2 linked regions of the Diceros bicornis minor genome follow. The protein of the gene in region 1 interacts with the protein of each later gene in a pairwise test. Links are inferred from orthologs where the notes say so. Each region holds a gene or a part of one and is shown in the gene's direction. Other genes may lie near its edges. The genes, in order: ADARB1 and PRKRA.

The links.
Region 2: the proteins of ADARB1 (region 1) and PRKRA interact in binary tests that used the Homo sapiens proteins (3 or more experiments, as listed by UniProt). The link is inferred for Diceros bicornis minor from reciprocal best matches to the Homo sapiens genes ADARB1 and PRKRA.

The regions. Positions count from the first base shown.
Region 1 is NC_080766.1:44,479,339-44,495,007, forward strand, and holds the start of ADARB1 (double-stranded RNA-specific editase 1), read left to right. Parts: upstream 1-10,131; 5' UTR 10,132-10,219; intron 10,220-15,669. UniProt on the Homo sapiens protein: Catalyzes the hydrolytic deamination of adenosine to inosine in double-stranded RNA (dsRNA) referred to as A-to-I RNA editing.
Region 2 is NC_080749.1:58,882,892-58,898,658, reverse strand, and holds the start of PRKRA (interferon-inducible double-stranded RNA-dependent protein kinase activator A), read left to right. Parts: upstream 1-10,055; 5' UTR 10,056-10,170; coding exon 10,171-10,235; intron 10,236-10,808; coding exon 10,809-10,978; intron 10,979-14,008; coding exon 14,009-14,090; intron 14,091-14,098; exon of another isoform or gene 14,099-15,255; intron 15,256-15,767. Other genes in the region: PJVK (pejvakin), read right to left, coding at 2,607-2,899, 3,121-3,219, 4,653-4,770, 6,169-6,310, 6,836-7,031, 7,778-7,988. UniProt on the Homo sapiens protein: Activates EIF2AK2/PKR in the absence of double-stranded RNA (dsRNA), leading to phosphorylation of EIF2S1/EFI2-alpha and inhibition of translation and induction of apoptosis.

The DNA.
Region 1 (15,669 bases):
GGAGTGTAGAATAGCAAGGATAGCCAGAACATTCTGAAGAACAAAACTGGAAGATGGCTTTCCAGATAACACTACATGATAAACTTCAGTGATTAAGACAGTACATATTGGTGCAAGGACAGGCATGGCGCCTAACAAGATAGTGAGTCCCGTGTAAAAACAACCCACACTTGTGTGGGTACTGGGTTTATGACAAAGCTAGTGCTGAAGAGCAGCAGGAAGAAGGGCAATCTTTTCAATAAACAGTGCTGGGTCAACCGGATGCCAAATACAAACAACAGCAACATGAATCTGGACCCCTACCTCACACTGTACAGAACAAACAATCCCAGGTGGCTGTTGCTGTAAATTTGAACATTTCAACCACAAACCTTGTAGAAGATAACAGGAACATATCTTTATGACCATGGAGTAATCAGGTTTTCTAAAAAGGACACAAAAAGCACTAACTATAGGAAAAAGTTGATAAATTGGATCACATTGAAATTAAGAACTCCTGTGTGTCAAAAGACACCATTAAGATTATGGAAAGGCGAGCCACGGAGTGGGAGAAGGTATCTGTGACACACACCACTGGCAACAGAGTTTGTGTCCAGAATATACAAAGAACATCCATAAATAAGAAAAACTTGAGCAGCTTCTTCACCAAAAAGGACGTGTACCTAAACAATAGGCACATGGAAAGATACTCAATCTCACCACTCATTGGTGAAAACCACAGTGGGCTGCCACTGCACACGCTCCAGAATGGCCAAAATGAAAAGACGGCCAACACCAAGTGTTGATAAGGAGGAGGGGCAGCTGGAACGCTCACATACTGCTGTGGGAACGGAGAGTGGGTCAACACTTTGGAAAATTGGCATTACCTACTGAAGTGGGACATACTGTCCCCTGTGACTTGGTATACACCCCACAGAAACATGTGCACACGTATACCAAAAGGCATGTATGAGATTGTTCACTGAAGCCTTATTCATATAGCAAAAAATAGGAGCCAACCAAAATCTCTGCCAACCGTAGAATGAATAAATACAGTGTGGAATGTTAATACTCTGGACTACTACATAAGCAATGAAAATGCATTCGTTAGTGCTGCTTACATGGCAGGATGGGTCTCCCAAACGAGATATCAAGCAAAAGAGGCAAGACCCAAAAGAGTGTGTGCTGTATGATTTCATTTACGACAAATAAAAATAGGCATTACTAATCTTCAGTGCTAGAAGTCAGGGCAGAGTTTGCCTTCAGGAGCTTGGAGGGAGTAGAGATTGGGAAGAGGTGCAAAGGGGACTCTGGGTGGGGGTCACATTCTATTTCTTGCCCTTGGAGAAGGTTTTATGGGTGTGTCCATTTTGGGTTAATTCATCCAGTTATATGCTTATGATATGGGTACTTTTCTGTACACATATTACACCCCAACACAAATGTTTAGAAATACACGTATGATGGCCCCTTTTCACAGCACCATTCACAGCTACTGCACGTCCTAGTAACTCACATGTAACAGTCGTCTGGGGCCCTGAGAATTCTAGTTTAAAACTGCAAACTACAGGATCTTGACTACATGGTAGTTGCAAGTCCCCCAGAGAGAAGGCTTTAAATAACCACATGAGCCCTCTAATTTGTCATTAACCAAACTTTCATTAGGCACGTGTTCAGCCTCCAGCCCTCTCTGAAAAGGCTCCTGGAGGACAGAGAAGAGGGAGCCGGGGTCCCTCCCATGGTCCCTGCCCTCCTCCCTCCTGTGCCTGCTTCAATTCCTAATTGCCTTTGGGCTTCTCAAGAAAGACTGCTAACATAATAATTAACAGATAATTCAGCAAAAAAGAAAAGCTCCTTTTACTGGTTCTAGTCATTATTTCAGAGTATATGTTCCCAGGAGCCATACTGTTTTAGCATCTGATTTATAAAAAAATCTCCAACCATTCAAAAGAAGTTGGTGCAGCTGTTAATTTTGTTTGGTTTATATGTTCTTGTAGACCCATTTATCCCACAAAGAATTGCGGGCGTTTGGCAACACCAATCCCTAACATTCATAGTCCTGCAGAACTTCGAGATGTTTGTTTTATTTAATCCTCACAACCATGTGTGATGTCATTGCCCCAACCTCCCCACTGAGAATCAGCTTCCTCACTAACCCTTCCCCACACACCGTCCCATGTGACCCTCACGCAGCCCCCGCCTCTATGTAGGGCATGTCGCCCTCGCCATGGCTCTCATATTGCAAACTCTGCTGTGACACGTCTCCTGGGAAACACATGCAAGCTTCTTTAGGGTGCATGCTTAGCAGAGGGACTGCGGGCTCTTAGGAGACCTACATCCCCTCACATGAAGATTCCACATCATTTCCAGAGTGGTTTATCCGTGTGTTCCCGTGCGCACACTGGTTAGGATACCAGCTTTATCAGTCTTGAGACCTGGCGGAGGACTTCTCCCTGGTTCTCTGTCTTGCCCATCTTTCTTCTTTTTTTTAAATGTAGGGTTTAAAATATACTTAATATGCTATTTGACTTATCAAAAGGTTATATGTAACATACATGTAAGTTATAGAGCATCATCCATGACCCCTCACTCCTCACCACCCCACCCACGACTGAGACTTTTTCCAGCACCTTCACCAACATGCTCCTCCCCAACCTATTTATACTCAATTTCAAGTTTTGCAAAGTGGTTGCAAATAATACTCCCACCAGCAATGTTCAAGGGTTCTGGTGATCCACATCCTCTCCAACACTTGATCTTGTCAGCCTTTCTAACTGTTGCCTGTATGGTGGGTGTAAAACAGGATTATTGTGATCTGAATCTGCACTTTCCTGTGACTCATGAGGTTGAACATCTTTTCATGGGCTTATCAGCCATACATGTTTCCTCTTCTGTTCATGTCTGTTGTCCATTTTTTATTAAGTTGTTTGCCTTTTCTTATTGGATTTTAGTTCTTTATATATCTTGGATACAAATCCTCTGACAGTTATATGTGTTGCAAACATTTTCTCCTTATTTGTTGTGTCTTTTACTTCATTGTATCTTTTAATAAACAGACGTTCTTAATTTTAATATGATCAAATTATCAATCTTACTTTTTATGGAGAGCACTTTTTGTACCTTAGGAAACTCTTCCTTCCTAAGGTCATAAAGATATTTGTCTATATTTTAAAAGTTTAAAAGCTTTGTTTTCCTTAATCCACGTGGAACAGAGTTTTGGGTAGGGTGTAAGATACATGCCTAATTCCCATTTTTTCCCAAATGGACAAACGTGTGTCCGAGCATCATTTATTGAAGTCATTCCTTTCCCCACTGATATGCCTCTTCTGTCATATATCAAAATATGTGTGGGTCTGTTTCTGGACTTTCTATTTGCCTTCAGTGGTCAGTGTGTCCACCCGTGGGCCAATAACAAATGGCTTGATTTACTATAATGTAATAGTAGGTCCTGATAGTTGCTGGTACAAACTCCCGCCTGCCGCTTCTTCTAGAAAAGTCTTGGCTCTTCTAGATCCTTTTCCTTCCTGTTATCTACTTTAGAATCAGTCGAGTTGTGTAAAGATCCCTGTTGGAAGATGTATCAGAATTCCATCGAGTCTGTAGGTAATTTAGGGGAGAAGTGGCACCTTCATGTGCTGAGGTCTTCTTCTTTATTAAAGTGGTGTGTCTCCACATTCACTTGCTCTTGCTCTAAAAAAATATTTTTTCTCCTTAAAGAGCATACACTTCTTTTGTTAGATTTATTCTTCATTCATATTTTTGTTGTTACTATAAACAGGTTCATTTTTCTAAATCACATGTTTGTTGCTGTTGTACAGAAATTGGTTTTTTTTTGGAGGGGGGTGTTGATTTTATCCTCTGTCACCTTGCTAGATTCTATTAACTCTAACAGTCTACCTGTGAATTGTTTTTTATTTTCTGCTATGTAATCGTATTACCTGTGATTAAGTATTCCTTCTTCCTCTCCAGCCTTCATAGATTTTATTCCACTGTGATGTCACCCTCTGTGGTTTGGGCTCCATTACGTGCTGAACAGGAGTGGAGCGAGCGAGCGTCTGGCTTTGTTCCTGATTTAAAGGGACTGTTCCTTACCTGTCACCACAGTCTGATGTTTGTCTCAGGTGTTTGTAGGCACCCTTCATCTGGTTAGGGAAGTTCCTTCTATTTCTAGTTTTCTAAGAGTTTGTTTTTCTGAACGTGAATGTCACTGGGTTTTATTAGAAGCCTTTTCTGCATCTATTGAGATGATCACACAGGTGTTTTCTGATTTACATTAATATGTTTTAAAGTGTTAAACCAGAGTGACATTCTTGGGTAAACTCAACTTGGTCATAACGTTCTTGTTATCATTTTTACATTACTGGATTTGGGTTTGCTGAGTGTTCTGTTTAGGATTTTGTGATAATTTATTTAGATTTTGTTTATGAGTGAGGTTGGTGCATGCTTTTTCTCCCTTAGGCATTCTTCCTAGGTTCTGAAGTCAAGATGATGTTGGCCTCATAATATGAGGTGGAGAGTGTTCCCTCTTTCAGTCAGTTCTGTCCCCAACACTCCACTGAGTTCTCAAAGTCACCATGACCTCTGTGTTGTCACATCCATTGAATTTTCTGTCCTTGCTCTATTTGGACTTGTCATTTTTCCGATTTACCTTTTCTTTTCTGGTAGGTTTCTCGCACCTGTCAGGGTTCCCCAGCCCTCTCTGCTCACCCCCTCTGTACCCCACTCCAATGGGTGAAGGTCTTCGGGTCTGGCCCAAGTCCTCTCCTTGTCTCTCCCCTCCCTTTAGGCAATCACTTCCATCTTCATGGTTTTCCATGTGTACCCCAGCACAGCTCTCTTCTCTGGACACCAATCTTTGTATCTTCCTAACACAGCACATGGACATCTGACAGGCCTTGCAAACTCATCAACCAGAAGGGACTCCTGGCTCCCCCCACCCCCAGTCATTTCTTTTGGTCGTTGTTCATCTCGGTGTCGCACCATCACCCTCCAACATGCACGGCCAGAATCCTGCGTCTTGGTTTGGTTTGCCCCCTCCACACCCCTTCACCCAATCTATCACCAAGTCTTATCCAGTCTCTTTCCAAAAACAACCTAACTCTTTCCACCTCCACTGTTCCCACTGGAGCTAGGCCATCAGCACCTCACCTGGGTAGTGTGCTAGCTTTAGAGCAGACATCCCTGGTGGCCTAACAAGCCAGTGTCCCCCACTAATGGCCCCCTGATTTTGGTGTGCATTTCTTTCCCTCCCCCAGACACTCTGTGTACTTTGACAGGAGTGGGTCTAAGTCCCAGCTCCAGGGACAGGCCCTACTTGGCTTAAACCAGGGATTGGCACACTTTTTCTGTAAAGGGCCAGATGGTAAACATTTTAGGCTTTGTGGGCCACATATGTCTCTGTCACATATTCTTCCTTTTCCCCCAAAGCTTTAGAATGTAAAATTCATTCTGAGCTTGTGGGCTGTACACAAACAGCCCACCTCAGGTCTCCACGCCTCTGGTTGAAGCACTCAGCACATCCCATTTTGCCAGTGGTTTAGGGAGGGTGGGAGATCCGAGCAGTCCAGTCAGGATGACTCTCCTGACAGAAATGCTGACGGAGAAGTCCTCTCTCCTCCTTTGAATCCATGTGGTATGGAAACCTCCTCCCTCTGCCTCGGGCACCCTCACCACCCACGCCTCCTAATCCTTAAAGCTCGGCTCAGAGGCTGTGGCTGCAGGAGCCTTGTCCTCTCCTGAGCAGGGCGGGCTGCGCTCTTGGACCCACGCACTTGCACACCTCTCCCTCTGCCACAGCACCCACGTTCTTCACACTGCAGCCATCCACACGTGGGGCTCCGGGCCAGCCTGTGCGGTGGGCATAACTGTCTCCTTTCATGGATGGAGAACAGGCTCAGAGAGGCTGGACGACTGGTCCAGTCACACTGTGTGGTGGAGTGGGGTGTGAGCCCTGCTCGACCCTCATGCCTGTCTCCTCACACTAGACTGCCTTCCAGTTACCACACGGCACCACACCCTTTCCCCATCCACCTCTCGACTCCCAACAACTGGAAAGTGATTCGTCATCCTAATCATCCCTGCTCACCCCTGCGCAATACACACTGCCTAAGGCACCAAAAAGCCACGAGAATGTTCTCAACGTCCTGTCTCTTCTTGTCTCCCCATAATTCTCACGTCAGGCCGGCTTCCCCTGATAGGTAAGCACGGCAAGTGATGAAGACCACCCTAACCACCCTGGTTTCAGCGTTTCAGGTCTGGGCACACAGAGAGATACAGCGTTGTCTCAGTGCCAGCTCCACATTCCCAGTGAAATCCCCTGGAGCTGGGCAGTGGGAGGTGAGTCAATGTTCCAGGGCACAGACAAGGCCACTCCTGGTCCATCTCTCCACCAGGGGGATCACTGTGGGGGTTGGGGGACCCCAGAGAAGCAGGCATGTTGTGAGCTGGGCAGATTCCATGCAAGGTGTCTGCTCCCAAAAGAGGTGATTGAGAAGGTTTAGTACCATCTGGTTTTTATCACTCCAGTCTCAGGCTTCTTAAAAATATGGGACAAAAAATATTATGTCTCAAATAAATGTATCCCAGTGTATGGGTTACATTACAATTTTATCTTCTTATTAGCAGTTTTATCTTCCTGGTTTTTTTAGAAACCAAGAAATCAATAACCTACTTTTAGACGACAATCTAAAAGTACCCGTGAGTGCCCTTTCCCAAACAGACAGGGCGGAATGAAATAAAACAGGCAGTGCACGTTTTCTCAGACACACTTTTGGTGGTGCACAGGGACCACAGGGAAATGGATTTCAAAAGGCCTAGGAAAAGGCTGTCCTTGGAGTTAAATGATGGAAATTCCCACAGGTGCATACGTCACAGGCCGGCAGGCACTGTGGCTGTGATCCCGGCGCAGTCTCAGCAGGACAGGTCGGGAGTGTGCTCACCAAGTGGAGGCAGTAATGGGATCACGCTGTCACCCTGTGTGAGCAGAAAGGGTGGCAGGGCCTAGAAAGGGGCCAGAGAGCCAAGCCGGGACAGCCGGGTCAGATTCAGGGCCACCAGCCTGTGCTCAGGTCATGTGGTTTACCCCTCTGGCGGCCACCCTCTGCTGGGCAGTGACGAATGAGTGGTTTCTGTACCCGTAAGCCTTGAACACATCCTTGGTCTGAAAGCCTAGGATGTAAATGAAGGCAGAGCTGCTCCCTCTGTCAGCAGTCAGCTGGGCACCTCACCTCTCCTCCCAGCAGCTCCCAAACGGGCTCCCAGGGCCACAGTCTGATATCCAGCCGACCCTCCATCTCCTGGTCCACTGGCGGTCTATGTCCTAAGGTCATTACTAGTGCTTTTGTACCGTTCTGTCCTGAGGCATCTGCAGTGCCTACAGTAATTCCTAACTCTGCCTGTGGGCTCCAGCTGCATGGTCATGCCAGCTAATTCAGCTGAAGGAAAACCTCGGCCAAGGCAGTTTCCTGGTGTTGTGTAGACAGTGTCTCCCCAGCGGCTGAAGTTTCATACTCTTGTGTAAAACCTAACACCACGTCACTGGGGCAGACAGAGGGGACCACTAGATTCCTAAGGGGAGCATTTGAGCGTCCTGTTCGTTTTCCAGGACTCAGAGTGATACTTTATTTTCACACTTGGCATGGTGAGGTAACCAACAGAACGAGCGTCTGGGGGTGGGGCGGGGGCCTACACCTGGATGCTGCTCTGTGTCCTGAGGGCCAGGTCGTGGCTGGCCAGCACAGTCACAGCTGCCACCACCTCTGTGGAAACCCAGGGCCCATCCTGGGCGCCCAGACGTCTGGCATTGATGGTGGACAGGGGCAGGTGGGCCTTCCATAGGAGGCTGTAGGATCCCTCATCAAAGCACCCGGCCTCACAGGTACTTGAGCGGCGGCAGCGGTGCTCCCAGGCACCTGGTAACGCCCCACGGCTTGGCCCCAAATCAGCATAAAGAGGCATGCTCTGCATGCCATTCTGCCAGGTCAGGGAGGACGCCGAGGTAAACCTGTCTCTGGAGATGACGTGTCTGAGGAAGACTAACAGCAAGGGGCCACCCCGGGGGCTCCTCGCCTGTCACCAGAGCAGCCCAAGGGGCCAGCCAGCCAGCAGGAGCAGATGAAGGTCCTGGTCACGGCCACGTCCGCTCTCTCCTCTGCTGCTGAGGGACAAAGGATGACATCGACACTACCAGCTCCGATGGAAGGGCAGTTATGTTGTTTTCCCTGGTAAATGATACTAAACGAAGGCCTGTAGAAGATGGCCACAGTGACGGCACTCAGTGAATCATGCGTCCCTTTACCACACCCCTGTGCAGTTCCTCCCGCACGGACTCAGGGCTTGGCCCTCTGACTTACTTTGGCCAATGGGACTTTAGTAAACACGGTGCAGGCTGGAAAACCCCTGTGCACCGAGCTTTCCCTTCCCTCTTGCTGCTGACAAAGTCGTACCACCATGAGAAGCAGCCCTGGACAGCCTGTGGACGGTGGGTGACACATGGCTGGTTCCCACGGCCCATATGAGCGGGCCCAGCCCACACCCCACAAAGCTGAGACGAGCCGTCCCCCCTTGCTGGCCCAGAGGATCATGAGCAATTAAAGGATTGCTTTAAGCCACTTGGTTTTGGGGTGGTTTGTTACACAGAAATAGACATCAAGTCCTCATGCACATATTTGTTTATTAAGGATGAACCCCTAGAGGGCATCCCAGGAGTCTTGATTTTTACTTAGTTGCCAACAAGCACCCCTTTGGACTCTGTACCTGGCGCTTGGCCCTCAGGCAGGGTGATGGGCTTGCCTGGGAGCTGGCTGGCCCAAAAGACAGGTTTTTCCTTTCCCCCACACAGCAACCTGAAGTAGGTAACCAGCCTGTGCAGCACGTTCCCCTGTGGTTAACTCATGCTTCGATCAGCGAACTTTTCAGGGGTGTTCAGCTCTGTTGTGGGACTCCAGGACTAACAGTAGTAGCTAGCACGGACGGGTGCTTACCACATGCCAGGCTCTGGACTGGGCTCTTCACCTGTCTTAGTCTTCTCTTCCCCATTTTACACATGATGAAACAGGCAGAGATGCCAAGAGATGACTAAGGCCCCACAGCTGAGAAGTGGCAGCAGCTGAACTTGACCTCGGAGTCTGGCCTCTCCCAGGGCCCCTGTGCAGGCGGAGACCCCAGGCTTGCCAGGCCCCAGCCCTCTCTGCACCCTGTTGTCCTCCTAGTAAATCACCAACAGCCAAGAGCACTGCCTGGCTTGTCCCGGCTCCTCCACTCTCAGCACCCGCACTCAAAAACTATAGTTTTTCCTTATTAAACTTTATTTTCTGTTCTGAAGAGAATTGCAGCCTTGGGTTGGTTGTTCTGGTCTTCGGAAATGTTACATTTCTACACATGCTTACCGTCATGCGTGTCAACATCTCCTGGTATAACCGTGGAACAGTCAGTAAATACAGATAGAGGAGTAAGTTTATTGCATACACTGTAAAAAAAGCTTTAAAATGTCTTTCCTCTCAACCCCACCAACCCAACCAGCGCCTTAACTTCGGCAATGTGGACTTGCTTCTGATCCCACTGAGAGGTCTACACAGAAATGTTGGTAGGGGGGGCACCTCTGGAGTCTGGGGACCCGGACCCCACCTTCTCCTTCAAACAGGACCCCGACTTCCACCGCACAGGCAGGGCCTCGGCTCCACGCCGCTCTCCGGGAAGGCGGCCGAGCCGGAGCGCGCGAACGCCCGGCTCACACCGGCCTCCAGGCGGGGACGCGGCGCCCTCCCGGGGTCTCGGCCCCCGCGCCGCCCGCCTCCCCGACCCCGCCCGCGGGAAGCCAAGAGGGCCTCCTGGGTCCGCGCGCCCCACCATCGCCGGGTCCACCGATCCGGCCACCGCAGCACCCTGACCACCCCCTCCGACCGCCCCACCCCGACCCGCGCTCCCGACCCCGCGGACCGCGGCGGGCTCGGCGAGGCGTGCGTGCGCGCGCACGGGCTGCGTGGCGGCGGCGCCCGGCGTGCGCGCGTCCGGGCGGGGGCGGGGGCGGCGGAGCGCGCCGTGGCCGAGCTGAGGCTGAGGCTGAGCGCTCGGAGGCTGAGGGCGAGGCGGAGGCTGGGCGGGTCTGGCCGCGCTCGGGACCGCGCTCGGGGCCGCGCCAGGACACGGCCAGCGCGCCGCAGCCCCGGCGGCCGAGGGAGCCCGCGGAGTGGCGGCCCGTGCCCGGCGCGGCGTGCGGAGCGGACTGAGCGGCCCGGCTGAGGTGAGCGGGGGCGGCGGGCTCGCACGCGGCGGCCGGACACACGCGGGCAGCGCCGAGCCGCGTTTATGTAAGCGCCGCGGGGCAGGTGGGCAGGCCGGCCGGGCGTGCGGCTCCCTCGGGACCCGGGCTGCCCGGCCGCGGTGTCCGGAGGGGCCACGGGCCGCCGGGGACGGGAGGCTGCGCCCGGACTGTCCGCGTGTCCTCCCCGGGCGCCGCGTCTGCGCGGGATGCTCTGCGCCGGGAGAGAGGAGGCTGCCCCCCGGGATGGAGGGGGGACTGCGCCCTGGGATGGAGGGGGCACTGCGCCCCGGGATGAGGCTGCGCCCGGGGATGGAGGGGGGACTGCACCCCAGGATGAGGCTGCGCCCCGGGATGAAGCTGCGCCCCGGGGAGGGAGACTGCGCCCCGGGATAAAGGAGAGGCTGCGCCCCCAGAGAGAAGCTGCGCCTCCGGAGAGGGAGACTGCGCCCCAGGATGAAGCTGCGCCCCGCCATGGAACGGAGACTGGTCTCTGGGATGTAGCTGCGCCCAAGGGGTGGGGGGACTGCGCTCCAGGATAAAACTGCGCCAGGGGAGTTGGGAGACTGCGACCCGGGATGGAGCTGCGCCCCCGGGGAGAGGAGACTGCGCGAGGAACAGCCTCGTCCCTTCCCCGGGAGTGCCGCATCTTCTCCGGATGCTCTCCGCCCCACGGAGGAAAGATTGCGCCCGGGGATGAGGCTGCGCCCGGGACGGCCCTGCGTACCCTTCGGGAGGGCACCGTGTCCGCGCGGGAGGCTCTGCGCTCGGGGAGGAGAGAGTGCGACCCCGGGATGAGGCGGCTCCCAGGATGAGGCCGCGGCTCAGGGGAGGGGAGGCTGCGCCCCCAGAATGAGACTGCGCCCAGGACCGCCTCGCGTCCCCTCCCGAGGGCGCCGTGTCCGCGTGGGATGCTGTGCGCCGCTGGCGGCCCTGGGTGGGGAAGTTCCCGCGGGTGCCCGGCGTCTGGAGCGATCCGGAACAATCTGGGGCGATTGGGGGACCGAGGTGAATTCTGACGTGTTCAAATCTGCAGTAGGAAAATTACCGGGTTGTGGTTGGGTCCAAGGGAGGGTGTCAAATTGGGCTGTGGACGCTCAAACGTGTTGGAGTTCCGATTTACATGGCGAGAACCTAAAGTGTTCCGGTCCGGATTTATACGTCGGAAACCCGCGCTGTTGTGTTTGGTTCGCAGTTCATGTTTTGAGCCAGCAGGTTTGGGTTGTTTCTTCTGACACGGGCGTTTGTTTGCGTCTTAACGCAACCGTAATGGTTAGCGTTCCGTTCTGGAAGTGTAACAAAAAGTGGTTTGATATCAACCTTGCTTCTTTACTCTTAGTGCCGTCATTAAGGTCCTTGATCAGTGAGTTTTGGAATGGAAATGTTTATGTAATCCTCTTCGTTCCCTCTTAAATTTGCCCGTATGTTTTATGCCTTTGAAAGGTGCCACTTACAGCTGCATTTTTCAAAACACTGGGTTGTCTTAAGAGCAGTTCCTGGCAATGTCTTTTGATTACTATCTTTTCTTTGGGGCTGAAACTACTTTGCCCCCTGCTCGCTGCGGGTTTCCCAGAGGGGAAAGGAAGAAGGAAAAAAGGCAAAAGGTTGACTGATACTGCTCCATGCTGGATAGGAGAGTTTGCAGGATTCCTCCAGAGGCAAGATCCTCTGGACATGGACACCCACAACAGGGCTAGATGAATATTTGATGAGACACGCTGAGCTGGGTGCGGGATCCTGCTGGAGGTGGAGGCAAGGGATGCACAGGGATTTGAAAGGAATGCATTGTCTGTGAGTAATGCCCTGCTAGATGTCTGGGGTTCCTGAGACTGAGTATATTCAGCCATGTCTTCAACAAATTTGAAGCTATAGTTGGAAGGAAAAAATGGAGGCCTTTCTGCAGGGGGCAGTGGTGAAAAGAAAATTGGTCCAGCTCTGAGAGGTTGATGACACATGTATCTGGAGGTGCGACGTGCTCCTGAAGTCAGTCCTGGGAGGTGAGGAGAGGAGAATTGGCTCATGACATCAAGGACAAAAACTTCTGGCTCACAGGCTGATTCACTCCTTTGTGGATTTACATGGCGTAAAGGCATTTCAACTGCTTTTGGATTTTTGGAATAAGAAAATTCTTTAAATTTATGTTTGTCTGGTGAATGAATAAAGAAAACTTAATTCATTTGATAAATACTTATCTGTGGCTTACTTTGTCTAGGCCCTCCCTGCTTTAGGCCTGGGGATGCAGTGCTGAAGAAGATAGGCAGAGTTTAAAACAGTTCAAAAGCTGGTACTTTGTTTTATTAATCACTTTTATAGCATTATATTTTTTTAAAATAAAACTTATAGTTTAGTTATAAAATAATAAAATTTAAAAATGTGTAGCATCAAAATTTTTATTTATAGATTTAAAAATGTAAGCATGCCCAAAGTACATTCAGAGATACAAAAAGATGATAAAACCTCATCCCATTCCATCCCCAGCCACTCTTATCCCTCCAACTGCTGTGACCAGTTGATTGTGTATTCTCCCAGCAGGAATCAAAACATACACACGGTTGTATGTTTTAATATAGTTTTTAGTATTTTCTATAACAAACTGAATATTTTTTATACATATTAATCATTTTTTATTAATCATCAAAATTCTTTAGCTGTAAGGTTTATTTAAGAACTGAGTTTTAGTCCGTTGAGCTCTGTGATGAGCTATGTAAGGACTTAGGAGATAGATAGAAAATACACTTTGGAGATTAATAAGTGAAGTCATACATTTACCAGCTATAAGAAACTTGTTTAAGAAAAATTATCAATCTTAGTATGAAACTGAAAAGCTTAGAGAGGTCCAATTTTATTAGAAAACCTGATGGTTTTTTGTGTCAGTTTTCTAAAATGTTAATTTCCAAAATCAGTAATTTGGTGTGATGGACATGGTGGTGTTCAAAAAAATCTTTTAAAAAATGTGTTCATAACATGTGAGGTAGGAAAGGCAGATAGTGAGACTTTCATTTAAAAATTGTACATTGAAGTCATTAAGATTTCCTTAATCCTTGAGTGACTTTTCTCTCCGGTGTGACATTTCATTTGGCACGTGGACAGGGAAATGTGGTAGCCAACAGAGGTCTTTGTGTGGCCTTGCTGCATAGCTTGACAGCTGTTGGGCCCAGACCATTAGTATCAAATAATCACATTTTTTCTGTGATCTGATGAGTGGTACTTGCCACTCTTTTCCACCTGTATGTGTAAGGTGTTCTGGGAGTGTACAAAGGAAAAGGACTTTGGTTTTTGGTTTCATGTCTTTGTGATGGATTTAAAATGAAGAAGGGGCAGGGAGGGTGGATGGAAGTAGCTCTGAGGGGCCTGGTATTTTGAGTGGAAGTGCAGTGAAACTCTGCTTGTCTCTAGGTTACTTCTCTTTCACTCACAGCTCACCCCGCAGGTGTTTACCACGTGCTGGGTACTGTGCAGGTGTTTACCACGTGCTGGGTACTGTCCTAGGAGCTGGAGACGCGGGCGTGAACACAGCAAGGATAGTTCCTGCCCTCGTGGGGTTCACATTATGGGGGAGGAGGGGATGGTAAACCCCAGCTAACATTGTAAGTGCCGGGCGGTGGATGGGGATCAGAGAGAGGGCTCAAAGGGTGGAGGGCGCTGGGTGCTGCCAGGCAGCGGGAGCTCTGGAGTCAGAGCCTTGGGCCTGAGCTTCCTGGTCCTTGCTAGTAATAGCAGGGAGGCCAGGGTGGCGGGAGGGCTGGAGGGTGGCAGGAAGTGAGACGGAGAGGCGGGTGGGCTGCATCTCGTTGGGGCAGGGGCTGTGGTAAGGAATTTAGTCATAAATCTCAATGTGATGGGAAGCCTTCCCATGTGCCTTCCTTCCTTCCCTCCTTTCTGTTTTTCTAGTTGACTTTAGAGAGTGTTGAACAAGGGAATGACAAGATCTGATTTATCTTTAGAAAGAATCACTCTGGCTGTCATGTAGCTAATGCTTGTTAGGAGCTTGTGACGTGCCAGGCCAGTGAAGCGCTTTACATGTGTTATTTAATTCTCATGCGAGTCTAGAAGGTGGGTGTTACTGTTAGTCTTCCTGTGTTACTTGTGTGTAAAAGTAGGCACAGAGAGGCCACAGAATTGTGGCACAGGCAGGATGGCCTGAGTGTCCACACTGCAGGGGCCTGCAGTGACCAGGCTGGGCCTGTGCAGAGGTGGCATGATCAGACCCGGCTTGCTGGATTTCATCACGTGTCAGATGCCGTTGATTGTAAGTTGCAGTGTTGTTTTTTGTACTATTAACAGGAAAATGCTGCCAGTTGGACTGTAATGTGCTTTCTTGTCACTTAGGTTTCACTTACGCTCAGTGAGAGAGCTCTTAGACTTCAAGTGTGGACTTTTAAAATCATACTGCTCTGTGCTTTTATAAAAAAGGAACATACGAGTGAAATAAAGTAATTCTAAAATTCTTCCCGTTCAGAATCCAGTCCTTCCAAGTCGGCCTTTGACTTGGCGCTGATATGGTGCTGTGTTGTCCACTGTGCGGTCACTGAGTGTGGTGGAGGCGGCTTTTCTTAAGACCGAGCCACTGCTGTCTCTGGGGTGTTGTCCCAGCTGCCGATACCCGGTCTGCAGGCTTGGGTGCTTTCTTGATCTTACTGGCAGGTGTTAAGGAGAGGTTTCCGGTCCTTGAGTGATTTGTTGACTGACCTGTTGTTGGGTCACCTCCGAGAGTAACAGCTGAGTTTGAGTGTGCCAGGGCGAGAGTAATACACTCGCCTCCTGCCCGTGAGTGGGATAGCACAGAGACGCCACCAGTGCCAGGCGCTTCCGCTTTCATGGTTGTTAAGATGTGGGAAAAGGCACGTCTGAGAACTGATGCACTGGGGCATGCTTTGCAGACGGACCCATCAGGATTGTCAGTAGTCTCTCTGTGAGATAAAACATCCCAGAAGGACCCAAGGCCCTTGGCCTGAGCGGTTGGCTGGTGCTAGTTATGAGATGGGGAAGTCCGGCAAGAGCAGGAGTCTGGGTGGAGCGCTCGTGGCGGGAGGCTTCAGATGCTCCTGAAGGCAGTTCCTCAGCCCGCAGACCAGACCTCGGGCACGTGGATTGGATCTTTGTTCCGCCACGTACCAGATGTGTGATCTTGAGGAGGCTATTTAATCTTTCTGTGCTTCAGTTTTCTCATCCATAAATTACGAAGAATAGTAGCAACTTGTCTCCCAGCGTTGTTGGGTCGATAAACACAGCTAACGTGAAGTGCCTGAAATAGTACCTCCCTGACAGTCCTTAAGAGGGTTTACTTTGCTTGTTATTTTTATGATTAATCATCTGAGTGGAGATGTTTGGATACCCGTGGAAATTCATGGTTGGGTTCAAACAGAGGTTGGGGCCAAATATGTAAATTTGGGACTCATTTGCATATCGATGGTATTTGAAACCATAGGCTG
Region 2 (15,767 bases), on another chromosome or scaffold:
GCCCCAGTAGATAGTTGTATGTCATAGCTGCACATCCTTCTAGTTGCTGTATGTGGGACACGGCCTCAGCATGGCCAGAGAAGCGGTGCGTCGGTGCGTGCCCGGGATCCGAACCCGGGCCGCCAGTAGCAGAGCGTGCGCACTTAACCGCTAAGCCACGGGGCTGGCCCCAATGGGGAATGTTTAAAGATCAAACCAAAGCCTTTATGTCTCTTATAGCAGGCATAATAAAGTCTATACTGCTGAGTCTTGTACTCCTTCAGACATCATTATAAATGTGCCACTATTCTTCCTTCTCATAGGCCTTTATATCTACCATCCCTAACTTTTTGTCCTGATAGTTTTAAATGGGATGCCATGGTATTTCTTAGTTTCCAGTTCCCTTTCTCTAGGTGTGTCTATCCTATGTTACTTTATTTCACAATGTTCTTGTTATTAATCATGAATGAGCATTACCAACTGGTATGCCATCAAATTTTTGATAAATGTATAGAATTTATTTTACACATGAGGATTGTAAGGATATCAAATAGGATACAAATGAGGATATACAGTGCTATGGCAATTTTGTGTCACAGTCAAATCATGACGTGGTACCACTTGTTGAGAATAAGAGGTAAGAGATGCTGTAGATCATCACATTGGTGCCAAAGAAAGGGCACATATTTATTGGAACATGTAAGATTTGCCCTACTGTGTATGTAAGGAAGTATGGTCAGGCAGTAAATTGCTCTGTTCAAAACAAGTGAGTTGAAAACAAAGGTTTTTCCATTTTCTGAAACTTGCTCTTTCAAATCATTGTTAATTGTTCATCTTTTAACCTCTTTAGATATACTGCTAGAAATTCTATTATTTAAAAGTTTAGGGGTAACACAAAACCCACCAGATTAGTGGCTCTCACATACGCACAGCACAGAATTTGACACTTTATGAAACAAAAACCTGTTCTTACTCCCAATATTTCTTCATTCCTGTACCCAAGTTTATAACTCCTTCTCACTTGCTCAATCATCAACTCTCTCTCATCCCTTTACTTCCCTCAGAAAAACCTGAATAGCTGAAGTAAAACTAAGTTGATAACTCAGTATTCTTACGTTTGGGTTTGGAAACTGCCCTCATTCTCTATATCCATATAAAAAAGTCACTAGAGCCTTTTTGATCAGTATACTCATATTGCATTCAAATCATATATGCTACCCAAAACAAAAATACAGTGAAAGAAAATAGATATGGAAACTATCCTATAATAGAAACTATTTATAATTCTAACCTTTCTGTCCCATTGTTTTCATACAAAGCGCTTTTAAACTTATGTTTTGAAAAACTATAGGTAGGGCCAGCCCCGTGGCTTAGCGGTTAAGTTCACGTGCTCCGCGGCTGGCTGCCCGGGTTCAGATTCCAGGTGCGCACCAACGCACCGCTTCTCCGGCCATGCTGAGGCCACGTCCCACATACAGCAACTAGAAGGATGTGCAGCTATGACATACAACTATCTACTGGGGCTTTGGGGGAATAAATAAATAAAATTATGAAAAACTATAGGTGAAGTTAAATGAATAGGCAGATTTACTCTAAAACTAGAATCAACAGTTAAATAATTAAAAAATAAAATTTTAATCATTCTCCATACATATAGTATACATGTATTTATATTTACACAATTGCTTTATACCTTCATAGGTGTATACCTCATAGTGAGTGCTTTAAGTATACATTTTGAGTTCTAGAATTTTAACATATTATTTTTGCAATTATTTTAATAAGGGTATATAGCAAATTAATAATTTAGTTTAAGTTGTTTGTATATGAAAAATTCAGGTGTCTTACAGAGTAGATGAAAAAGATCTCCCAGAACTAAATACGTTAAATGTTTTAAACATTTTCAAAGGAGAAAAGAAATAAACGTGTACTAGCTGCCTTAACTTTAAAATGACAGTAGTCAGTTTTACAAAGACAAAACTAGCCAGCATATGTACATCACAGAATGGCATCACAGAATGACTGCCACAGAATGGCAGTCACTGATAGTGACTGATCACTATCAGTCACCCTGTTAACTGTGTACACAAAACCCCACACTGAGCTCTGTGCTTTTAATTTGATACTGCAATTAAACATTTAGGATTACATTAAATTATTAACACATTTTTCTCATTTTACCAGACCTAGGGCAATACTTAAAGCACCATAAAGTCGCTACTTGTGCATTCTTGTCACCCTTAAATGTTGAATTAAAAATAAAATTGATATTTAGAACAATCTCTATGTAAAAAGTTATCTAAAACGATAGACTAAATCCCAAAAATATTTCTGAAATGACTGGCGGATTTTATGAAGGAACATCTATATTCTGAATTTTATATTTAAACCTTTTTATAATATAATTATAATATATAAACAATATCATTGGTCTTCATGACAATTTATGAGGTAGACACTATTATGATCTGCACCTTATAGATGAGGAAAATGATACCCAGACAGGTTAACTTCTCTCTCCTCTCCCTAATTTGCCACAATTCATAAAAGTGAACCTATGTAACTTTGGAACAAGTCTGTGGCATAGTTGCACCTAAAACACCAGCCAGGTACATTCATTTTTCATTTTATTTCATTCTCTTGTGCCAGACATCAAAACAAGGAACTGCATGAAGTCTCACATACTTCTGCCCGTCGACAGAACACTGGAAGCACCCATAAACCGTCTCCCTTTTAAAGTTCCCCATTCCACAGAGTATGCAAGGTCCTTTTGGAATGTTGTGATTAAGTAAGTTAACTCGGATATGTGTCCCTTCTTTGAGTGAAATATCAGTCATGCTGAGGGGTTTGTCATAATAGTCAGAAAAAAGATCATCTAAGTAAAGCTGTGAACGAGAAATGGTGTCCATCACTCTTCTGTCTAAAAGGACAAAAACAGAGAAATGTGTCAGAAGTCAAAACAAAAAACATATAACCAATCTGCATTTATAAACACTACGTGAATCTAAACCATCGCTCAAGAAATTATGTAGCTTTTAAGTTTAAATTTTTCCTTAACAGACAGGATTATTGAATAGATAACCTCAAGTGTCAATCCGAGAAGAAAAAAAATACATTTGAAACACTCTTCAATGGACGTACTTCTCTCGAATAGTATATTTCTCAATCTGTAGAGCAGTGCAAACGTTGCTCTTTCTTCCCTTTCAAATCCTCCTTTTGACACTGAAGTGACACAAAGGTCTATAAAAAAAATTTTAGAAGATGTTATAACTTGTACAACTCATTTTATTGGGAGTTTTAGTTGTGGTTGATGAATTCTGGTACATGCCATTCATTTTATTTTTTTAAGTTAAATTTTACATATTTCTGGAAAAGGTAACATTCAGATGGTACAAAATTAAAAGAATACACACAGGGGATACAGTGACAGATAAGTCTCTAGTCTACCTTGACCCCAGCCTCAGTTTTCCACCCTAGAGGTAACCACTTTTAAGTTACTTGTGTGTACTTCCAGAAATACTCCATATATTGTACAAGCATAAAAGGATATGTATGTATGCATGTATATAAAATTAGGCTCAAATAGTTACATACTATGCCTATTTATTTAAAATATCTCTTAGAGATTACTCCATGTCAGCATCTATAATGCTACCTCATTCTCAATGGCTTCCTAGTATTCTGTTGTGGACGCACCATTACTTACCTAGTTGCTGATAATAGATCTTAAGATTATTTCCAATCTTTTCCTATTATGAAGTAATATCCTTATACCCATATCATTTCACATTTGTGTAAGTATATCTGTAGGATAAATTCCTAAAAGTGTAAGTAAGGCTAAAGTATATTCACATTTTAAATTCTGATGGATATATCAGTTCTATCAGTTTATACTCCTACTGACAATCAATATGTGTAAAAACCTACACCTGAAGTGTCCCAAATAGAATTTAATCAGCATGTTTTTTTTGTTTCTGTACTCTCTATTCCCTCCTCCCACAGAACTGCAGAAACAAACAAAAACAGGTCTAAAAATGTTTATAAACTACCATAGCTAGGGGGCTCCCTTGCCTAGTCCCTTGGGCTATGTCCATCCTTGAACTGACTGGGCTCCTAATCTTACAGACCTGCGAAATGTAGAAATCTAAAGTGAACTGCACTGAGGTATGATATAAGTTGACAATTTTGGAAGAAGTATTTGTACTTTTAAAGTTATTTCTTAGGGAGAATTGGGAAGCTGGATCTGTGATAGGTAAAACTGAAGAAAAGTTGTCTTTGGGTACCCTAGTTTGGGCACCCTGACACCTTCAGGCATCTTACTGTCTACCTACTCCTCTATTTGCCCTCATCAAAAACTACCTGTTAGAAGGTCATTTATTATCTCCCCATGTAAGTCAAGGAATACTTTGTCAGTGGATTGCGTTTTAGCTCTTATCTATGATTGTAAGTGGGGTAGTAGGGAAACTACAGCCTTCACCAAGAAGCAGGAAAGAGGTATTGGGTAAGCAGGGACCAGAAGGTCTTTCCCAGCTACTTCATCCAAGCATAAGATTGACAGCTGAGAGCATCACTCTTCTATATTTAGACACTCAGAGAGAGAGAGAGAGAGTTTCCCATTAAATTCTTCTTAAAAATATAATCATTTCAGTGTTTCATGCAAATCATTCACTCACCAAAGGCACCATCCAAGTAAATGAAGAGTTCAAAAACACTGAAAGCTATGGTTGTGTGTGCTGGAAAAACAATGGCTTTGTCCCTTCCCTTGGGATTCTGTTCATCCATAAAATGAAACTATATTAAATAAGTAAATTGAATAACATTATTAAGAAGCATAACATATAAGGATAGCTTTTTGGAGAAACAAAATATTTCCTACAATCCTACCAAAAAAAAAAAAAAAACCACCACTCCAAGTAAAGAATTATCCTACTTGAATTAAACTGTTTATAGCAGAGGTCCAACTGATCTGATGGGGACTCATGATCTATATTAGGAAATGCCACTCACCACTTTCTCACTTACTTTGGTATTGGAGCCAATGATCAGTGCTACCACAACAGTAATACTCTCTGGCATAGAAGCTCTTTTTCTTTCAACTGCAAACTCAGTGAGTTTAAGTGCTACAGTGGTTTTTCACTTACCTTGTCTACTGTTCCAAAGCCCCCAGAGCTTTCAGCAGCTTTCCAAAGCAATCATCAACTTATTTTCCAAAGCAATCACCAACAATTAAGTAAATGTTTCAGTTTGTGCCCAAGAAATAATCCAATGATAAACAATGTGGTGGGCAGCTAAATGTAGCCAGTGAACAGAACCTCTATTTGCAAAGACTTAAAAAGATGATCACTGAACTCTATCTTTCTAGCAATTGGTTTTAATAAAACCAATCAAGTCATTATTGTGTCATTATTATGTAAATGACAAGGACAAACAGTATCATAATTGAGCTAAAAATTAAACAAATAACCTTCAAGATCTTTTAAAAAGGATTTAACATTGAATGAAGCATGTTTCCCATTGACAATATTATTTTAGAAAGATTAATTTAATTAAAAATATAAATTCGGAGCCAGCCCAGTGGCGCGTAACAGTTAAGTGCGTGTGCTCTGCTTCAGCGGCCCAGGGTTCGCAGGTTCAGATCCCGGGTACACACCTATGCACCGCCTGTCAAGCCATGCTGTGGCAGTGTCCCATATAAAGTAGAGGAAGATGGGCACAGATGTTAGTCCAGGGCCAATCTTCCTCAGCAAAAAGAGGAGGATTGCTAACAGATGTTAGCTCAGGGCTAATCTTCCTCACACACACACAAAAATATATATATATAAATTCAACTTTTAAAAATTCAAGTACAAACTAAAAATCACCTAAAAATAAAATCAAAGAATTCAACATAAGCATTCAACTATTATTCTTAAAACAGCATTTAAATTGTAATAGGAGGAACTCCAATATGCACATTATTTCACAAGGATTGGTGTTTTGTTTGCATTATACTATACATGTTTAGAATCCAAATTTTCTTGGATTTTTTTCATATTCTAAAACAAACCATTACTGTGGAAAATCCTATATACAACTGCAGCTCTTGAATCTCAACATTTGACAAAATACACATCTCATTAGAAATTGAATACTTTTTAAAAATTCCCATTGCAGCTTTTTAGTAAGAGAAGCCCAATGAGTGTGGTTTACCCGCATGGCTTCCCCACGAATGCCAGCATGCACAGACAGTGAGCATTGTCGTGTGGTTCGAATGCTCTCCATGACCACACACAATACCGCCTTTCTGCTGCTCCTTGACTGACGTATCAAGCTATGGTCAAAATTAATTTTTCTAAAATGAAGAAGAGAGACGTTCACAAGAATCTGTAACATCTAATTACATATAATCAAATACAGTTTTTGCTATCAGGTGTTACTCATGCACAGTCCACCTTAACTAAAAGTAAATCAAGGCAGGCCTAATACAAATCAGAAAGTAAGCTCAAAAGACATTTAATAATCTGCTTTTCCTTTCTATTTTCTTAAAACATGCTTGTTATAGGAGTGTATTGGAGGAGACTCTCTTATATTTGTTGCAAGCAGATTCCTATATTCTTTCAATCCAATAATTTAGCAAATGCGTGCAGAGCCAAAGCCATTTTGTGGAACAATTAAAAATTCTGTTTAAACCAAATGATTGTGGATATCTACCAAAGTTTGCATATATTACTAATTTGTAATATTTCAAACAAATCAAACAAATAAATTACATTAGTAAAATACAACCTGAATGTTTTAAGCATTCTTTGTAATGAAGTTTACGTAATTAAAATATTTAATGAAAACAGTGAAGTATATTAAGGATTATTATACTGACCGTGTAGTGATCTCCTTGAGTAACGTTGATACTTCCACTTCGTGTTTGGTTACTACACCAAACGAAGCTTTTACAGCAATGGAATCTGATCCAGCAACGTTAATCCCAACATCATTCACAATATGGTTGCCTCTCCTTCCGTAGAGTGAGACATCTGATTCATCTTCATAATTCAGTAACTGATAAGACGAAATACCTTTAAGAAAAGGAAATTAATATTTTTTAAATGTCTTGAATTCATCTAACGTAGATTACATATAGTAACACGTTAATTTTCTATTTAAGACTCCATTACTCAAATGTGGAGGAAGGCAACATTTCAAACCAAAATTAAAAATAGCAATTTAATTAATTTGACAACAAAAAGAAATAAATAGCCAGAGTACTTAAAATGAACTCAATTCTATGTTCAGCCAACAGAACTTCTTAGGCATCAAGATCCAATGGGCGGTTGAAAGAACACCAAGTTTTTATAAGAAATAATTTGTCAAAATGTCAATTTATTTTCTAATCCAGCCTCTAATACATTTCACTTTATCAACTGTAATAACTGAATCATAAAAAAATAAATGCAAATTACTTTCATTTCATTTGATCATGTGAGATAGGTAAGAGTAAACAATACCCCATATTATAGATGAAGAATTATATTATGTCATATTCTAAGTTGATTTGGTTAAAACAATTTACAAAATAATTAAAATAAGATTATACAATAATCCTACAAAATAGGTTTGAAAATTATTCAACTAATAAGAGATGTGATACTGTATAAACTTTAGGCATTGTTAATCTTAGTATTATTACTGCCATAGTAATAAAAGTTATTTTTATCAATGAAAATGTGTCAATATTAGGAACATAAGTAGTATATACAATCTATGTTTAGATCACCAATAATATAGCTGAATTAGTCCCTCCCAAACAGACATTTAAACTTACCAGCTGAAATTTCTCTGTCTCCTAGAAGAACATCTTTCAGTGTAAAAGGTGTTGAGGTAAATTTATATCTAGGAAACAGAAAGCATCGCTTTTTTTTTACCACCAGACTTAGAGGTTGGTATTTGTCAGCCTCACTGAGGCTTGGAACAGGAACTAATCTCCCTCCATCTCCAACTTGTTTGACAAAGCTCTTGGTAGCAGCAGCAAACATATTAACATAGTATTAAAACATCATCAACTGCAACCCTCAGATAAGAAATCCATATTTTCAAAGAAAATCAGGCACAAAACTAAGCCTTGCTTGACTTTAAATATAATTATACCTGCTAAAAATACAAAGTATAGTTTCACCAAGTAGTTTACCAGTGTACAATCCACACACACCGCCTCCCCTGGCGTGCTCAGGTAATGAATTATAGATCAACGGTGTAAAATGATATACTAAAAGCAAGTCTAATTTGGAATTGCAGTCTATAGCACTAAAATACACAGAAAACTAATAATTACATTACCAATGTCTTTGATGAGGGTCACAGTTGATAGTGGTTTGCCAGTCTTGAGGGAAGCATATAGCCCTATGGGGAACGATGCAATTTAGGCACTAACATTAGCCCTGGACACCATCTACAGTGGACCTAGTCCAAAGGGAACTCCTTTACAACTCCATCATGCCAATTTTGGCAACAGAAAAGTGCTGTTTGGAATCCTTATGGTATACAGTTCACTGTTTGAGCATTTCATTCATTTTCCCTGTATGCTTACAAAACCAAGTGATTAATATAAAATATAAATTCATAGAATATAAGGAAACAATTGTATGCAGATCTTTGTAAAATACTAAATGAAAGCCGCATTACATAACTGTATACTGACATTTGGGTTTCTTACTCTGAAGCTGGCACATAGACAACATCTCTTTGAAACGGGGTCCTGCTGCATTTATTTTCTTTTTGTTTCATGATTATTATCCCAGTTACTCAACCTTTAAAAAGAGCTATATAAGGTTTTGGCTTGTTTTTAAAGGAATTTTGTGGATAAAAACAAATTTTAGAAACAAACCTGAGTGCTGAAATAATGTATTGCCATAGTTATGTGGATGTTAATATATTTTGAAATAGTGGCTATGTGGTACTTAAAATAAGATATTTGTTAAAACATAACATTAGTGGGTAGTAATCGACATACATACACATATTGAGGGGGTAGGGGGAGGAAGAGAGAATAGGCTTAATTCCAGCCTCAAATAATATAAATCAATTTTACTAGATTCTAGACATTTTTTTCATTTACTTTCAAGCATCCAGGGCTCACGTGCAACCAAAAAAAAAAAAGTTTTTAATAATAGCCCCTCCTGCCAATACCATTGGGCAAAGCAATCTTCCAGAACACCGAGAAAGCACACGAAGTGATTTCTGCAAGTGGCTAGCAAACCCCTAGAAAAGCGATACATCTAATGTCGCTGTCTGACCTCCACCAAAAGTGGTGCATCCCAGGCAAACGCCATTACAACCAACAACACAGGTGTGCAGAAACAACATTTAATTGGAATCAGGTACCATAAGAAGCCTTCGTCTACACGTAATATGTCTTGTAGGGATCCGGTGGCTCAGCATTCTTCTCGCGACCAAAACCTAGAAGACAATGGAGCCCACCTGGCGGGAGAGGAGTGGGGTCTCAGATGTCCTCGCGAGCTCCTAAAGCTCCTGAGGGCCACCGCAGCCCTCAGGAGCGGATATTCCGCCAGTTTCAAGCTTCGGGGCCAGGCCCGGGGAGTGTCTCTAGCAATTTTGCATTTGGAATTTTGAAATCTTTTTCTTAAAGTGACGCAGCCCTCATCCTACGCCCTAACTCCCCCGCCAAAAAAAAAGGTCTAAGCTTCAGGCCTCACACACTGTGAGGCTCGCCCGCCGGACAAGCCTTCTCTCCGGGCAAGAAACGCCCTCCTTTTAAGGACACAGAACTACGGCCTTGCCGGGCCAGGCGCCGATAAGCCGGCGCACCGAAGGGAGGGCCGCGGGCAGGAGCTGAGGACAGCCGGGGCGGGGAGGCCAAGGGGTCTGGAGGGGAGGGCGGGGTCTGGAGGGGAGGGCGGGGCCGGAGCCGGAGAGACCCTGAGCCGGTGGGCGGGGCCGGGCACGGAGAAGGGCCCGCAGCCAGGGCGGCGAGGGGGCGTGGCCGGGAGCCGGGGCGGGCACTGCCACACCGAGGCTCCGCCTCCCCCCCCGCCCGTCCCCTTCGCGAGAGGGACGCAAGCGGGAGGAGAGGAGGAGTGGGAGGAGGGGAGGCGGCGGCGGTGGCGCTGGAGCGCTTCTCTCGGGGACCGGCCGACCGGGGGAGCCAGCACGTCGCCACGCACTGCTCTTCCTCCGGCCGCCGAGCCGTCCCTTCTCGCCATGTCCCAGAGCAGGCATCGCGCCGCGGCCCCACCACTGGAGCGCCAGGACAGCGGGACCTTCAGGTCAGCGCCGGGGCAGTCGAGGCCGAGCCGGCAGGGCCGGGAGTGGTGGGCAAGAGACGCGGGGGCGGGGGAGCCGGCTCTCCAGCGGCATTCTGGGTAAAGCCCCTTCGCGGCGCTTTCGCCCCCGCAGCTGCGGGCGGACCGGCGGGCGCTCGGTCCCGCCCTCTCGGCGGCGCGCGGGCCGGGGTCTGCGGCCGGGCCCCGCCCCTCCTGCGGCCCCGGGCGGTGCGCGGGCTGGGCGGAGGTGGCGCGCGGCCGCCACCCTGAGAAAGGCATTTGTGGGCTTGGTCCTCAGAGGTCGCAGCGCCGGTGCCTGCCCTATTCTGCTACGAATCCCTCCTTCGCGCATTCGAGTTAGCCCCCTAAAGACCTCCCTCGCCCTGCCCGCCGCTGCCCGGTGCCCGCCGCAGCGGGGCAGGGAGGCTGGTGCGCCTCGCCAGCTCGGGCCCTGGCCGCCTGGGACCTTCGGCTCCTCCCGCGTCACCGTGGATAACGATCAGAACTAGCCCCTGTCTGCTTCTGCCTCCCTCTCCGCTTTGGCATGCAAAGCACACCTTTTTCTGGTTTTTGCAGTTTGGGGAAGATGATTACAGCTAAGCCAGGGAAAACACCGATTCAGGTATTACACGAATACGGCATGAAGACCAAGAACATCCCGGTTTATGAATGTGAAAGATCGGATGTGCAAATACACGTGCCCACTTTCACCTTCAGAGTAACCGTTGGTGACATAACCTGCACAGGTCTGTATGCAGTTAACCTAGATGACCAGGCGGGTTGGCGGTCAAGACTTGGTATTGCTTTGCAGTTCGGAAAAGTGCCCTTTTTACCTGAGACAGTGGTGAGGAGCAGCCTCTTGAAACTGAGAGCTCTCATCTCAGGTCATTGGAACTTTCCAAGTTCATCTGATTCTCTCCCTAATTTTCTCTTCCCCAGATACCAAGACAAGCTCAGAAACATACCTTAGGACTCTCCTATGGTTCTTCCTAGAATTAGGGAGAAGCAGGAAAGGTTCTTAGACTCACTAGGCACTTTGGGCCCCTTGCACCACACTCGATTCTGTATCCAAGCAAAATGAGGAAGGCAGAAGGCTCAACTACACTATATTGCATAGCATCTTCTAGTTCCTGATACTATACAGATATTTAATACGTTATCTCTTTTTTATACATGAGGAAACAGGTTCAGAGAGATCATAAGTAATGTGCCCAAAGTCACATAGCATCGAAGTTTCAGAGTTCAAACTCAACTTTATTATGGTCTGTGAACTTGAGCAACTGACAACTGAAGTTGCCCGTTTGTAAATGTAGACATTTTATTTCTTAGGTATCTTATTTAATTGAAACATAAAAAATATTGAATACTAAATTTAATTTGGAATAATGCCAAGAAAAAAATTCAGCAGGAAGGCTGAAGTTCTACCATCTGGTCATCTGAGGCCGTCATTTGTTTGTGTCCCTGAAAAGCTGGAGTCCGCTATTTTCATTGAAGCCACTTTAAGAAAATTTTGAAGCTTTTTTGTTTATATGAGGCAGGTGGATTGTAGGTGCCAGCTGGAAGTTTCCTCATATGAACCATAGAATCAGCATTGCATTAGTGCTTTAGCTGGTCTATTTTTAAGTGTTCAGTGAAAATTCAAGAAAAAGTAGCCTTTTTTCCCTCAGTGTGTTTTAGACTGGAGCCTAACAATCTATGGTAACCATTCTGCCTTGGCCCCCTACCCTTCTCACACTGCCCTGTCTTCCTGTGCAAGCTTATCTGCCTCCACAGCTTCAAATACTATCTAAAGGCCGATAATTCTGAAATCTCTATCTTCAGCCCAGGCCCAGTTACAGAACAGTGTATCAGCCTGTGCTTGCTGGGCATCTTTGTTAGGATGACCTAAAGGCACCTCAGTCTCTCATTGTCCCAAACTGAATCCATCTTCTTTTTTCTCACATCCATTCCCCAACCCAGTAAAGGCACCACCACCACTGATTTTCTCACAGTAGAAATCTGTATTTCATCTTCTTGACTCCTTCTCCTTGTCCAGACTGTCACCATCTCCTACTTCCTAAATATCTCTTGCATCTGTCTGCTTCTCTCGTTTTCCCATTGCTACCGTCTGGGCCACTGTCATCTCCCACTTGGAATATAGCTACAGTCTTGTAGCTGCTCTTTCAGCTTCTAGTCTTGTGATGTCCATTCTCCACAGGACAACCAGAGTGTTCTCTCTGGCGTCCACATCTGTTCATGTACTTTCTCTTCTTAAAATCCAGTCAGTGGTTTCCCATCAACCTCTGGACAAATACAAATTTCTTAACATGACTTACAACCTTGTTTCTCAAAATGTGATCAACAGCAGCCTTGATATCACCTGGGCACATGATGGAAATGCAGAATATCAGGCCCCATGCCAGACCTACTGGATCAGAGTATGCATTTTAACAAAATTCCCAGGCAATTCCTATGCACGTTAAATTTGAGAAACACAAATTTAGGATACTATTCCTTAATCTCTCCCTCTCCCGTCCAACTCTCTCGCCTTTTATCTGAAAATTCCTCCCCTTGGGCTCTTACTGTACCCACCTACTTGGGGCTCTTGAGCACACCCTGCTCTGTGTTGCCTCTGAGCCTTGGCAGGGGTCTTTTCTCTGTCTAGAATGCTCTTCCAAACCCCCAGCTCTCTTCACTCTGCTAGCTTTTACTGATCTTTCAGGTCTCCATTTAGTTACCTCTTCCTTCTTGAAACCTTTCTGAATCCTTCCCAAGAGTCGGGAGCTGCGCCTTTCATGTGCCTCCTACAGCCTGCACTGAGGCCTGTCGTAACACATACTACTCCATGTTTCAGATGCCTGTTTACAGACGAAATCCCTCACGAGGCTATGCGCTCTTTAAGGGCAGGGACTGTGTTTAGTTCTCTGCTGTACCCTTAATACCCGTGTTAGTGGATGAATGAGTATTATTTGTGTGTCCTCTGACACTTGAGGGTCACACTTGAAATTTATTCCATGTCCCCTTTCTTTCCTCCACACCAGAGGAATGGACATCAGCATTCTCATACCACTTTCAGAGGGTTCTCAACACCTGGTTTGAACTCAGAAGGAAAAAGGTTGAATTTACCATTTACCAGGTGTGATTGCTTTCTGCAGTTAGGCATCAGTCTCAGTGGTTAGTAAGGCCCGTCTCCTGCCACCCCGTTAGCTACCCATGTAAGAGATACAGATTGTATAGAAGACACATAACATAAGCTCTCACCTTCTTCCCTATATAGACCTTCCCCAGTGTTCCCAACATGTGGCCATGACTGCTTAGCCAATCAGAGGGGTTTAATGCAGTAGAGGATGGGCTGTTGGAATAAAATTGTGCACATTCTACTCTCAGACAGTGTTGTAAGTGGCTCCCTTAAAGGAAACTTCTTGCTTCAGAAGAATTCTCTCTCTCTAGGGATAAGGGAAGGGTTAAATACTAAGTTGCATTTCTTTAGAAGGTGTGACATGGTCTACTTTATTACCATTTTGTGTATAAACATATATAATGTAGACATAAGAATTCTTTATATAGGTATACATAGTTAAATGTGTAGAACTTCTAAAATCACGGTTTTTTTAAATGTGTTAATTTTTTGTGGTGAATATTTTATTACAGTATATAATTGTATGTAGTCTATGTTTTTATTACCTAGTGTGTATATATAAAACCTGTAGTAACTTTATTTTGTATTATGAAAAGCATTATGTGAAAGCCTCACATTTTCACAGCATATAAAGGTTTTTTTTTTAACCTTAATTCAGGTGAAGGTACAAGTAAGAAGCTGGCGAAACACAGAGCTGCAGAGGCTGCCATAAACATTTTGAAAGCCAATGCAAGTATTTGGTGAGCTAAATTTCTTTGTATTCTGCAGCTCAAAAATATCATGGCTGAGGTAAGATTAAAAGTTTGAACATGCTCACAAAAGCAACAAAGTGAACAGTTGTTAGTATCTAGCTGGAAAATTCTACTTCCTTGTGAAAACCTATCATCCATTAAAGACAACTTTATCCTTAAATTAAATCCAGCAAGTAACTATTAAATGGTTTTCACGAACTAGGCTTTTTTTTTTGTAGATGGGCTGTGACAGTAGCAAAGCAGAGTTTTTCTGGCAAATATCTTACTGCATTAAGACTTTAATTATTTCTACACTAAAGAAAACAAGGTGGAAAAAGATCAACTGAAAGTACTCTTTTAGGAATTCTAATTTGGAAGGAGACAAAAAGATTTCCTTTTATTGTAGGATGTATACCAAATACAGAGGATGTTAAGTGGGATGTTAATTCTTGACATATCTTTCCAAAGTAAATTTGTTATTCTAGGTGCTTTGGGAAAGAGAGTTGGTTCTGGAGCATCTCATGTGTCATAAAGTGGTGTCCTTTGGTTTCTAATGGGTACACCCTACAACATGGAGTGCCTTTAAATTCTTCTTTACATGCACTCAGATAGACTTGGATTATAATCTGCTCATAGCTGACAGCAGAAGCCCATGGGAATTTAGGATGGTGTTTTGTTCCCCATCCGTAGCAAAACTTTTGGCTTAGAGATGTATGTAGGCTCTCGTGCAGTGCTCCTCCTTTCTAAGTCATTCTAAACCATTTGGTAGTTAGAACTAACCAGTGATAAGCCTTGGATCTTATAAAATGATGCTTGATTCTCTAGGGTCATACATTATACTTGATTTATGCTAGCTTTCCAGACATGCCAAATGGCATGGCAGGTATTGGATTTTCCTCTCGCTGGTGATGGCCATGCTGTTTCTGTGGAGCCCAGAGGTCAACCCAAAGTGTTGAGTATATTCGTAGAAATGAGTGTACAGCGTGTCCTTCCTGCACCTGGGCACTTCACTTTGTCAGCAAAAAACGCTAACACACTTTACTATATATTTGTGCTTCTTGACAGATAAGATGGGAATTACTAAGCTGTAATCAGGCCTAAAGTGGCCTGATTTAATACAGAGACTTTCTCACTTCTCCATCACAATTATTTGGGTAGCTTCGGCGTGCGCATTGTAAGTGAATATTCGTATCTCATCAGCCTATGTAAAGCTTGAAATTCTGGCAGTTAGAAACTTAGGGAAGTGGCCATAAGTAAACCTCATTTGTCCTGGAAGAAATGACTCTTCAGTGACCTAGGTGTCAGTGTTAGGGACCCGTCACCCAAGTAACTAGTAGTTTCAGGCTACTTAGAGGAGATTGTTCTCTTTTTTCCTAATCACGATTCCCACATGCTGAAACCAGATTCATGTAGGCCATCTATTTTATGCAGGGTACATATGATCTTAGGGGGATCATTTGCATAGAGCAAATGATAAGTCAAACAGATCTTTCTTCCATAATTCTCTAGATGAAAAAACAGTATTTATGATCTGTGTTATTCACATTGCCACGCTAAATTTCATGACTAATAGTCAGTCTTCCCTTTTCATGTAGTTATAATATAGTATATTTTATTTAAATACATTTTAGCTGAGCACCTATTATATGCAAAGTGCTACAAAGCTTATGAAGGTAAGTAAGACAT